3 linked regions of the Callithrix jacchus genome follow. The protein of the gene in region 1 purifies or fractionates together with the protein of each later gene. This does not show direct contact. Links are inferred from orthologs where the notes say so. Each region holds a gene or a part of one and is shown in the gene's direction. Other genes may lie near its edges. The genes, in order: GSK3B, PRKAR1A and PPP2CA.

The links.
Region 2: the proteins of GSK3B (region 1) and PRKAR1A purify together in Homo sapiens (affinity purification with mass spectrometry; 3 studies listed by BioGRID and IntAct, with this or other methods). This does not show direct contact. The link is inferred for Callithrix jacchus from reciprocal best matches to the Homo sapiens genes GSK3B and PRKAR1A.
Region 3: the proteins of GSK3B (region 1) and PPP2CA purify together in Homo sapiens (affinity purification with western blotting; 3 studies listed by BioGRID, with this or other methods). This does not show direct contact. The link is inferred for Callithrix jacchus from reciprocal best matches to the Homo sapiens genes GSK3B and PPP2CA.

What each region holds. Positions count from the first base shown.
Region 1 is NC_133516.1:82,767,594-82,771,344, forward strand, and holds the start of GSK3B (glycogen synthase kinase-3 beta), read left to right. Parts: upstream 1-979; 5' UTR 980-2,016; coding exon 2,017-2,104; intron 2,105-3,751. UniProt on the Homo sapiens protein: Constitutively active protein kinase that acts as a negative regulator in the hormonal control of glucose homeostasis, Wnt signaling and regulation of transcription factors and microtubules, by phosphorylating and inactivating glycogen synthase (GYS1 or GYS2), EIF2B, CTNNB1/beta-catenin, APC, AXIN1, DPYSL2/CRMP2, JUN, NFATC1/NFATC, MAPT/TAU and MACF1.
Region 2 is NC_133506.1:124,604,262-124,607,912, forward strand, and holds part of PRKAR1A (cAMP-dependent protein kinase type I-alpha regulatory subunit), read left to right. Parts: intron 1-579; coding exon 580-738; intron 739-2,557; coding exon 2,558-2,618; intron 2,619-3,587; coding exon 3,588-3,651. UniProt on the Homo sapiens protein: Regulatory subunit of the cAMP-dependent protein kinases involved in cAMP signaling in cells.
Region 3 is NC_133503.1:74,131,517-74,135,167, forward strand, and holds part of PPP2CA (serine/threonine-protein phosphatase 2A catalytic subunit alpha isoform), read left to right. Parts: coding exon 1-90; intron 91-1,240; coding exon 1,241-1,330; intron 1,331-1,817; coding exon 1,818-1,979; intron 1,980-3,459; coding exon 3,460-3,578; intron 3,579-3,651. UniProt on the Homo sapiens protein: Catalytic subunit of protein phosphatase 2A (PP2A), a serine/threonine phosphatase involved in the regulation of a wide variety of enzymes, signal transduction pathways, and cellular events.

The sequences.
Region 1 (3,751 bases):
GCGCCGAATTGGCCCCGCCCGGCCGAGAGCCTCCTGTGGGTGAGGAAAGCCCCTCGACCCCTCTGCTCGCTGAGCGCTCAGACCCCAGCACTGCCGACCATAGTACTTTCCGACTTGCTAGGCAGGGGACCCGCGGTCTCCACCGTTGCTGGAGGCGGCAGTTGCCTAGCCGTCAGGCCGTCAGCCACTACCCCAGTCGGGCTTCTCCCCGCTCCCTGGGACCAAGGCCGAAGGCCAATCACACTGCAGCTAGGTCTTGCGATTGAACGGCAGTGAGAGCCGATTGGCCACCGTTGCGGGTTTCGGGTTCCCTCCCTCTCCCTTTTGCCCCAACTCCAGCGCCTAAGCTTCAGGCCAATGAGACGGCGCTTTATAGGCGCCCTCCCTTCGCTTTCTTCTCCCCACCTTGGAGAAGGAGGAGAAGTCCTGACTGGCTAGACTGTCCTCGGAAGCCCCCTTTCCTTCACCAATCACCAAGGGCGGTACGCTCCCAGTGGAGTTTTCCAACCAATTACAAAGCGGTGGCGGCGCCCAGCCGTGCAGTTTCACCAGCGTCTCCGGGTTTCACCGTCCTCAACTCTTCAAGCGTTTTCATGAGGCCGGCGATTCTGATTGGCCCCAGTTGCCATTGTCGAATGTCTCCTCTAGCCAGCCCTTTCCGTACGGCTACCTTCGGCATTTTCCGCTCTTTGGGCGTGGTTTCCCATCGACATTTTCTAATTGGTTTCTCAGGCCGATCGGCTTCATCCGGGAGGAGTCGCAAACAAACGACGTCCGCGATTGGCTCTTTTCGGGCTTCGGCTCCAAGCCGAAGCGGGCGAGCGCGGGGCTCGGCCGGCGATTCCCAGACGCCTGTTACGCGGGCGGCTGGACGCTGGGCGGTGTAAGGCTGGGTGGGGGAGGAAGGAGGTGGAGGACGAGTAGGAGGGGGGAGGAGGGAGTGGGGAAGTGCAAGGCGGCTGCGCAGACAGCGCTCCTCACACAGAGCAGCCCCCGACCCGGGCGAATGCGGGCTTGTACCGCCGCCGCCGCCGCTGCCGCCGCCGCTGCCCGGGCCGAGTGACAAAGGAAGGAAGGAAGGAAGCAAGGAGGAGCCGGCCCCGCAGCCGCTGACAGGGCTCTGGGCTGGGGGCAAAGCGCGGACACTTCCTGAGCGGGCACCGAGCAGAGGCGAGGGGCGGGGGGGGCGGGAGGGCGGCCGCGCTGGTGCCGCGGACGGGGGAGGGGGCCCCGAGAGACGGAAGCGGTTGCCGGGTTCCCATGTCCCTTGCGTATGGGGAGCAGTCGAGGAGCCGCTGCCTGGGGTCTGAAGGGAGCTGCCTCCGCCACCGCCACCGCCGCCGCCATGGCCGCTGGATCCAGCCGCCGCCTGCAGCTGCTCCTGGCGCAATGAGGAGAGGAGCCGCCGCCACCGCCACCGCCCGTCTCTGACTGACTCGCGACTCCACCGCCCTTCAGTTCGCCGGGCCCCCGCCGTCAGCCCGCCGGATCCCGCGGCTGCCGGAGCTGCAGCGTTTCCCGTCGCCTCTCCGAGCCACCCCCTCCCTCTCCCTCCCTCCTTCCCATCCCCCTTTCTCTTCAAGCGTGAGACTCGTGATCCTTCCGCCGCTTCCCTTCTTCATTGACTCGGAAAAAAATCCCCGAGGAAAATATAATATTTGAAGTACTCATTTTCAATCAAGTATTTGCCCCCGTTTCATGTGATATATATTTTTTTAGGATTTCCCCCCTTTTTTCTCCTCCCAAGAAAAGAAGGGGAAAGAATTGTATTTTTTTCCCCAGCCCTAAATCATCTATATGTTAAATATCCGTGCAGACCTATCTTGAAGGAAAAATACATCGCTCTTTTTTTTTATAGTATACAAAAGGAGTGGAAAGCCGAAAGGACGAGTCTGTTTCTTTTTCTTCTGTGGGAGGACTTAATGCTGCATTTATTATTAACCTAACACCCCAACATAAAGACAAAAGGAAGAAAAGGAGGAAGGAAGGAAAAGGTGATTCGCGAAGAGAGCGATCATGTCAGGGCGGCCCAGAACCACCTCCTTTGCGGAGAGCTGCAAGCCGGTGCAGCAGCCTTCAGCTTTTGGCAGCATGAAAGTTAGCAGTGAGTATTGATTTTATTTTACACTCCTTTTCCGCCTCGCCCTTAGAAACCTCGGAATACCAGAATCTGAAAATAATAGACCTCTTCATAAAACAGTCAAACAGGTAATGCAAAAGAGCAAAACCTGTCTTCAGTCAAGAATGAAGCAGCTCCCTCTCTTCTTCTCCCATACCCCCTCCCTCGGTCTCATTAACCTTGAATTGAGAGAATATGATTTTTATTTGGACGATTCGATTTGAAACTGCTTTCTTTTCGTATACTTTCTTGCTGTTGGTAGTTAGTTTCATCAAGTGCTTGAGTGTTTCCACGTTATATTAGTGATGACAGTGTTTACTTGCTCATCCTTTAGAATAAAGAGGACAAGATTTGATTCATAAACCATTATGTACGTTTGCAGAACGTATGCCTTTTGGAATGAGTGAGGGTATTTTAGGTCTCAGGGGTTATCATAGTTTGGTATACTTTATTGAAACGTGAAATGTCCCACTCTCCCAACATTTTTTTCTTGTCTGTATGACTATACATAATATTCTTAATCTGTGGATGAACTTCCTCAGTAACCATTCACATTTGGAGACTGGCATTGATTTCTCCCTTTAGAAGGGACCAGTGGGAGCCAATAAATACCCAGCAGCAGTAGCATCTCTGTATGCATTGTCTTCAATTTGGATAAGTGGTTTGATGTGTTATCTCTTAAACTCCTGTTTTGACATTATCAACCTGCCACTGTATAATTATTTAATCAAAAGGTAACTTGGAAATATTAATAGGTCCAAGTTTTGTTTGTTTTGTCATCGTGCCAAATACTAAGTTAAATGTTGTCACTGGCTCATTATCATTTAAGTTAAATTTTGGAGTGCTGTTGCATTCATTACCTGTTAAATGTTCTGTAGTACAGGGGGGTTCCTTAAAAAGGACATTTAAAATACTCTTGCGTTAGTTACCACCTCATTTAGGTAACACTGGATTTAGTTAGAAGAATGTGGATTTAGTCCTTTCCATTTTGGCTTTTGCAGATGGCTGTGGTCCTAGAAATAATAGGGATATTTGGGCTGCGTTCAAGGTTGTGGATACATTGTACTCTCGTCCTGGGTTTGGGCTGAAAAGTATGCTCTTGAAGTGTTTAGTATATACCAAGTATCTAATGTTCCAGTGTATCTCTGTTTGTGGAGCTGTTCATGTGGTATTTAATGATAGCTTGTTTAAACATACTTCCAGAATTTAACAAAAATATCTATATTGTTTCCTTATTGTGGAAAAGAGGGGCATGATAAGGGCAAAGACAAGTTATTTTGTATCCTAGAAGAACTAAAGAACTGAGATTTTAAGAACCCCCCCCCCCAAATGTATGTTATGTGAAATTGATTATATCTTTAGGCAACATAAAATGATCACTTTTAGTTGAACTCAGCGTTTCAATTCATGTTGGCTTTGGGAACTAGCCTGAAACAGGATAGTCTAGGTAATAGCTGAATTGGAGATTATTTTTGAAAGTTAAATTTTTTTTTTTAGGTGTCTTGCAAATGAATGCTGGGGTAGGTAAAGAGGAAAGCTGATTATGCATATTTCAGGGAAGGGTCCTGCTTTCTAAGTACTTCATGGGGTCATTTGAAAAATATTTTTAAATTCCAGGGTAATTTTCAGCTA
Region 2 (3,651 bases), on another chromosome or scaffold:
ATAGAGGTTTCTTATTCACAAATGAAGAGGGAGAAGATCAGGAAAAATACCTCTTATGTACTTTGCTTACTACCTGGGTGACAAAATTATCTGAACACCAAATCCCTGTGATACCCAGTTTACCTGTATAACCTACACATGTACCCCTGAGCTTAGAAAAAAAAAAAAAACTTATGGCAAAGATAAGTCTGAATTTTAGAAAGACTGGACACCAATAGCATTGATTTTTTAGGATTATTAGGAAATTCAGTGACCTAATGCAAGTAAAATGCTTAGCATAGTGCTCAGCACAGTTCTTTAAATATATATGACTGGTATTAGTGCTGAGCCAACCTTTTTCCCTTACATCCTTACAGAGTGCTTTTTTTCTTACCAGATAATTAAATCAGGTAAATTATAAAGACACTTATTTAACCCATCAGAAATCAATTATTCTCTGATGTGTACTGAAAACATAATATATTCTGTTTTTTAAAACAAAGTTCAGGATTGTGATCTTTTAAAAAGCTTTGAGGGTTTTTAACATTTATGTGTTTGTGTATCTAGAAAAAAACTTTTTTGCTGTCACTTGCACTTTAGGTCTATGTCAACAACGAATGGGCAACCAGTGTTGGGGAAGGAGGGAGCTTTGGAGAACTTGCTTTGATTTATGGAACGCCTAGGGCAGCCACTGTCAAAGCAAAGACAAATGTGAAATTGTGGGGTATCGACCGAGACAGCTATAGAAGAATCCTCATGGTAAGAGATCATAGCGTTTGAGAGTGTGATTTAGAATTCTCATCTATGTAACTCATGTTTGAATATTACCAAATTAAAATCAGAATGTTTCTTATAATGAGAAAATACTTTGCATTAAGCCCAGCTTAGCATTATTCATTATGCCATTTTAGACAGTGATATTTTAGAAGAAAAGCTTGGGAAACAAGATCTGGGTATATGTGCCAGTCAGCTCATGTTTGGAAATCTGTGCATTTGCTGGTAGGCACTTCTTAATTTGCCTAATTTTACCCATCACAGATAGCCTGATAGGTGTTGCTTTTAAGGGCCTAATGTTATTTGGGGCCATTCAGACATAATCAGCTTCCCTAACCTATGAAAGTGGGTTATCAGTAATGCATATGTATGTCACATCCCCGCTTGTTAAAGGAATAAACAAACTAATTGGAACATTCTGGTGATACAGTCAGACTTTCGGAGAACTTTGTGATGAATTTATAGAATAGCTTTGGATGTTTAAGTCCCAGCCAATGCATTAGTCATTTTGAATGGTTTTCATTTGAAAATGTACAGTCTGATGTACTTTGAAATTTTTCTGCATTTGGGATATATATATAGATTAGATAGATAGTCTTGTCCTTTGCAGCAACACAGATAGAACTAGAGACTATTTTTCTAAGCAAACTAACACAGGAACGAAAACCAAACCAAACGTTCTCACTTACAAGTGGGAGCTAAACAATGTGAACACATGGATACTAGAGGAGGAACAATAGACACTGGGGCCTACTTGAGGTGGGAAGAGGGAGATCAGGAAAAATACCCCTTATGTACTTTGCTTACTACCTGGGTGACAAAATTATCTGAACACCAAATCCCTCTGACACCCAGTTTACCTGTATAACCTACACATCTACCCCTGAGCTTAGGGGAAAAAAAAAAAAAACTTATGGCAAAGATAAGTCTGAATTTTAGAAAGATTGGTTTTGAAATGATGCGATGGTATACTGAAGAAGAAATTGATCATACAGTTCTGATTTTCTCTGCAGGAATACTGTTAGTAAAAGGAAATGTAGAGTGTTTACAGCTTTATCTCATTGCCAAGGAAGAGTAGGACCTAGAACTATTGGTTTGAAATAAAATACTTTACTTTCTCATAGTGGGCCTGAAAGGTAGTTAGGGCCTCACAGTGCCTTGGCTTTGTGGACAGGAATTAGGGACTATAGATATGGGGTGAAATATCTATATATCTGGGTAGGGGAGGGTATGGTCCTTTTTTATAGAATAAAGAAATGTCAGTTTTATAGGTGAGAAGCCAAAACTAATGGAGGAATCTGCATCTAAATATCAGTGTTGAACAGGAAGAACACTAGGATTAATGGGACGTAAATGAAGACTTAGATCAATTTTGTGAGAAAATATTTTCAGAGATAGATTGAGTTGTCAGTGGCGCAAAATCAGTTTGAGAGTAAACATGGAAATTGTGCATTGGTGTAAAGTGTGTGGAAAAATATCTTGGGTGATACACTCAGGTATAAACCGGTATTTCTACTGTATTTGAAAGTTGGGAAATGCTTTGTGAAATATGTCAGCATACTGGTTACAGATGCTGGGAATTGGGCATAATATTGGCAGAAAATATAAATCACAAGAATGTCATTTTATATCATTACCTGTAAAATAAAAATCAGTTAAAATTAAGTTTTCTTCATTAACAAAAAGCAGCAACAAGCTTTGACTTTCTGGTTTTAAAATTTATGTGAAACTTAATATTTATTCCATAGTATTATGTGGTGATAATTGCATGTCTTGGGAATATCACTTTTGTTTTTATTTTTAGGGAAGCACACTGAGAAAGCGGAAGATGTATGAGGAATTCCTTAGTAAAGTCTCTATTTTAGGTGAGTTGTAAAGTGTGTTGACTGCTAGTATATGAAATACCCCTGAATTAAAATTGGTTGGACTTGGGAAGAGACTTCTGAAAGTATCATTGCTACTCCTTCCCCCTTAAGAGAAAGAAGGGCTGAAAGTCCTGCAGACTGGACATTCAGTTATTTTCTCTCTGACTTCTGTCTCTTGTTCTATCATTGAGTTGATAGGTTCAGAAAAGTGAGTACTTCCAAGAATATGTTTCCTCTGTGGAAAGATTAGGTGTCATTTGCTAGCATCATCATCTGAAAACATACCAGAAGTTTGTTGAAATTTAGAGTAAAGCAGATTAATTGAAGATAATCTTTTGTGCATTTTGTTATGGGGACTTGGAGATGTTGTTAGCACTTGTTCTTCACAAAGGGGGAATGGGGATTTTTATAAGATAACAGGCTTCCACCATTGTTTCTTACAGTTAATTGACTGCCCCCCCCACCCATTTGTCTTTTCTTTGAATTGGTTACATTTACTTTGTGTTTGGATCGTAGTTTGGCCTTTGGGAATAAAAGTTATTTTCTAGTTCTTGTTTCATAAAGTTAACGGAGGATTTAAGTAGATTAAATTATTTTGACGAAACTTTGGAATGATATGGATGGGAAACTATAACTTTTGAGTATTGTAGTTGTGGGTTTGATTTGCACTGATGGCAATCTTCAGGAATACTTAATGATTACGTTTTCTTACTCCTTTGCCATTGGGTACAGTTGGTATAAATTAACCTGGCCACTGGGACTGAAGTAAGGATCTAAGGGCTATCTGCAGGTAATATGAGAATCCTGCTCAGCCTAGAGGTAATTGAAGACAGGCACCATGTTTAATCTGAGACACTACTAGAATGTTGAATGGGCATGGCTGTTTGGTTGAATCTCTTTATACTTTCTTTGTACCTTCATGGTAGCACCAAATAATACAGAGCAATTCTTTTGATTCTTGTCTTTTAGAGTCTCTGGACAAGTGGGAACGTCTTACGGTAGCTGATGCATTGGAACCAGTGCAGTTTGAAGA
Region 3 (3,651 bases), on another chromosome or scaffold:
TGTTTAAGAAAATACGGAAATGCAAATGTTTGGAAATATTTTACAGATCTTTTTGACTATCTTCCTCTCACTGCCTTGGTGGATGGGCAGGTATGTGGATCTTAAAACTCCTTGCTGGTTATTTCAGACTCTGCTTTCTTTAATGTTGAGGTGCTCATGACCCTTTCCACTCTTTCTTTCTCTCCTTCCTTCCTTCCTTCCTTCCTTCCTTCCTTCCTTCCTTCCTTCCTTCCTTCCCTTCCTCCCTCCCTCCCTCCCTCCCTCCCTCCCTCCCTCCCTCCCTCCTCTCTCACCCAGGCTGAAGTGCAGTGGTACACACTCTGCTCACTGCAACCTCCACCTCCCTGGGTTGAAGCAATTCTCTGCCTCAGCCTCCTGAGTAGCTGGGATTCCAGGTCCCCGGCTAATTTCTTTGTATTTTTTTTAGTAGAGACAGCATTTCATCATCTTGGCCAGACTGGTCTTGAACTCCTGACCTTGTAATCCACCTGCCTTGGTCTCTCAAAGTGCTGAGATTACAGGTGTGAGCCACTGTACCCAGCTGACTCCACTCTTACACCACTTTGGGAATATAGTTTAGTAGAAATTGATAACATTCATTCAAACTTTAAAAAAATTTTAATCTGACAAATAATTGTGTCCGGTTTTTTAAGTGCATTATTATTTATATCAGGCACTGAACTATATGGTGGGATCACAGAGGTGGATGGTGTAACCCGTATATCCTCTCAGACTGTTTTTGGACAAGCCTGGGAGATGTAAGGAGCTAATTATTGGTTTAGGTAGATGTGTACACAAAAGAACTTACAAGAAAATTTTTTGAGTGTGAAGACGTTAGTGTCTGGCAGGGAGTAGGAGTAATATCCAAGAAGTTTTCTCAAAGGAGCTGTTAAAGGTGGAGTCTGGGTGTGACAGCAATGGTCTGTTAGGAAGAATGGGAGTGTACTCAGTAGTTCAGAGTGGGCTGGAGCAAAGATGTACCCTGCAGAGTCAACCCTCATTCAGGCAGAGCTCAGAAACACCAGTGGGGCCCAGTGATGGGGGCACCCAGCTCAGTTTTTTAAAATTTTATAGAGACACAGGGTCTTGCTGTGTTGCCCAGGCTGGTCTCAAACTCTGGGCCTCAAGCAGTCCTCCTCCCTCAGCTTCCGAAAGGGTTGCAGGCATGAGCCACTGTGCCCAGCCAAGAATGTTTACCAATTTTTTAGGTGAGGTTAACATTTTAAACCACTCGTTTCAGATATTCTGTCTACATGGTGGTCTCTCGCCATCTATAGATACACTGGATCATATCAGAGCACTTGATCGCCTACAAGAAGTTCCACATGAGGTATGACTTTTATTTGATAATACGTTTTCTGAAAAGATTTTAGGGAGTGGAGAAGTTTAATTGTAAGTTAGTTCATTATATGTATTCTCTCATTTAATTCTCAAAAACAACTTGAGGTGTGAGCATTCTTTCTGCCCTGTTCAGAAGAAGCTGACATTAAGAAATCTGCCAAGATCACAATAGCTATGGAGCTTGGTTTATTAGGACCTAGGTTGTCTGTTTCATAGCTCTGAAATTTGCATAATATAGGCAGATTAATAGGGCATGTTGCTGTTGGGTCCCATGGATGTCAGCTGTGTCTCATAAAGACTGCTAGAAAATACATCTTATTTGATGCAGATGTGTGACTTCAGTTGTACAATCTATTAGCATTTTCCACAAACATCACTCAAAAAGGGTGACTTAGGTGCTGCTTCTGTTAAATTACTCAAATACTGTGTTAACCATGTTTGTTAAAGGCAGTTTATAACTTGAAGTTACTTTTTAGGGTCCAATGTGTGACTTGCTGTGGTCAGATCCAGATGACCGTGGTGGTTGGGGTATATCTCCTCGGGGAGCTGGTTACACCTTTGGACAAGATATATCTGAGACATTTAATCATGCCAATGGCCTCACGTTGGTGTCTAGAGCTCACCAGCTAGTGATGGAGGTATGCTCTGTTCTTTGAAATACGACTTGCTTCTTAGTAAACTTAAGGAAAGATATTAGGGAATTTTAAATTAATGACTTGTGAGAAATTCCATTTATTCCTTCTGATGAGTTTGCCGTTACAGCCTGAGCCTTTTCAGTAGATGGCACACAAGAATTAAAAGCTCAAGCTTTTGATTACAATTAATTAACCATTAACATGTTTTCAGAGAATTCTGAATGGAAGTGCTTTGGGATTTAAGAGTGGGAAAGTAAGATGTAGGGAGTTGGAGTGTGTGTATAATATTTTATTATCCCACTGTTTATTCCATATATTTAACATGTATGTGTGTAGGAGAGACTGGAAAGAAATACACTAAAATGTTTTAAATGGTCCTTTGGTTAGTAGGATTACAGGTGATTGGAAAGAGACTAGTGTTCCTTTTTTTTTTTTTTGAGATGGAGTCTAGCTCTTTTGCCAGGCTATAGTTCAGTGGCGCCATCTCGGCTCACTGCAACCTCCACCTCCCAGGTTCAAGCAATTCTCCTGCCTCAGCCTCCCAAGTAGCTGGGATTACAGGCATGTACTGCCATGCCTAGCTAATCTGTGTATTTTTAGTAGAGACGGGGTTTCACCTTACTGGCCAGGATGGTCTCGATCTCCTGACCTTGTGATCCACCAACCTTGGCCTCCCAAAGTGCTGGGATTACAGGCGGGAGCCACCGTGCCTGACCAAGGCTAAGGTTCTTGACATGGCACACTGATGAGCATATTTTAAAAAATAAAGTCCTAATTAGTTTAATACTAGTATAACTCTGTGGGTATTGATAAAATCTGACTTTGCTAAAGATAAATTTGTGAACAGTACTAAACAAAAAGTAACAGAAGTAGCTCGTACATTCAGATGGATGGACTTTGAGGAAGCAAGGCTGGAAAGACTAGAGGCATGTCTCATTTGTTCCTGGGCAGTGAACCACACACTAATAGGCCTTTACCTATGACAAGAAAATTAGTGAGGTTATGGTCTCCAGGATTAGGTGTCTACCTCTCTAGGGAATGGCCACATAAATACTTATTCTTAAATCAGGTTTTAAGGCCACTGCAGTAGAAGAGGCTAATGAGACACTACCATTTTCAGCAAGTCAGATGCATAAGAAGCAGTTTATTCTTCGGTGGTTGGTGTTGTTTGTTAAAGGCTTTTTTTTTTTTCCTTTTTAGTACTAAAAAACTGAGTTTTATAATTAGGGGAAAAACAAATACATGTGTGTCTTACAGGTTGTATAAAAAGGGTTATTTACAGATTGTATAAGGGATATTTACAGGTTGTATGAAAAGGGATTATTATTACCGCAAATTCATAAGTCATCCAGAAAAAAAGCATTAATGTTTCTTAAGCCTCTTTGGCAGGGGTGGGAATGAGTAGAGATTTTCCCTTGAGTGAAGTAACATTTAGTTGTAAATAAGGGAGTAAAGTAAGATATTTATCTCATTTTCCTTGTAGGGATATAACTGGTGCCATGACCGGAATGTAGTAACGATTTTCAGTGCTCCAAACTATTGTTATCGTTGTGGTAACCAAGCTGCAATCATGGAACTTGATGATACTCTAAAATACTCTTTGTAAGTACTTCTACCTGCCTGAACAGTTGATTGAATTGGTAAATATGTAGGTTTTTATTTTGTTTATTTTTTG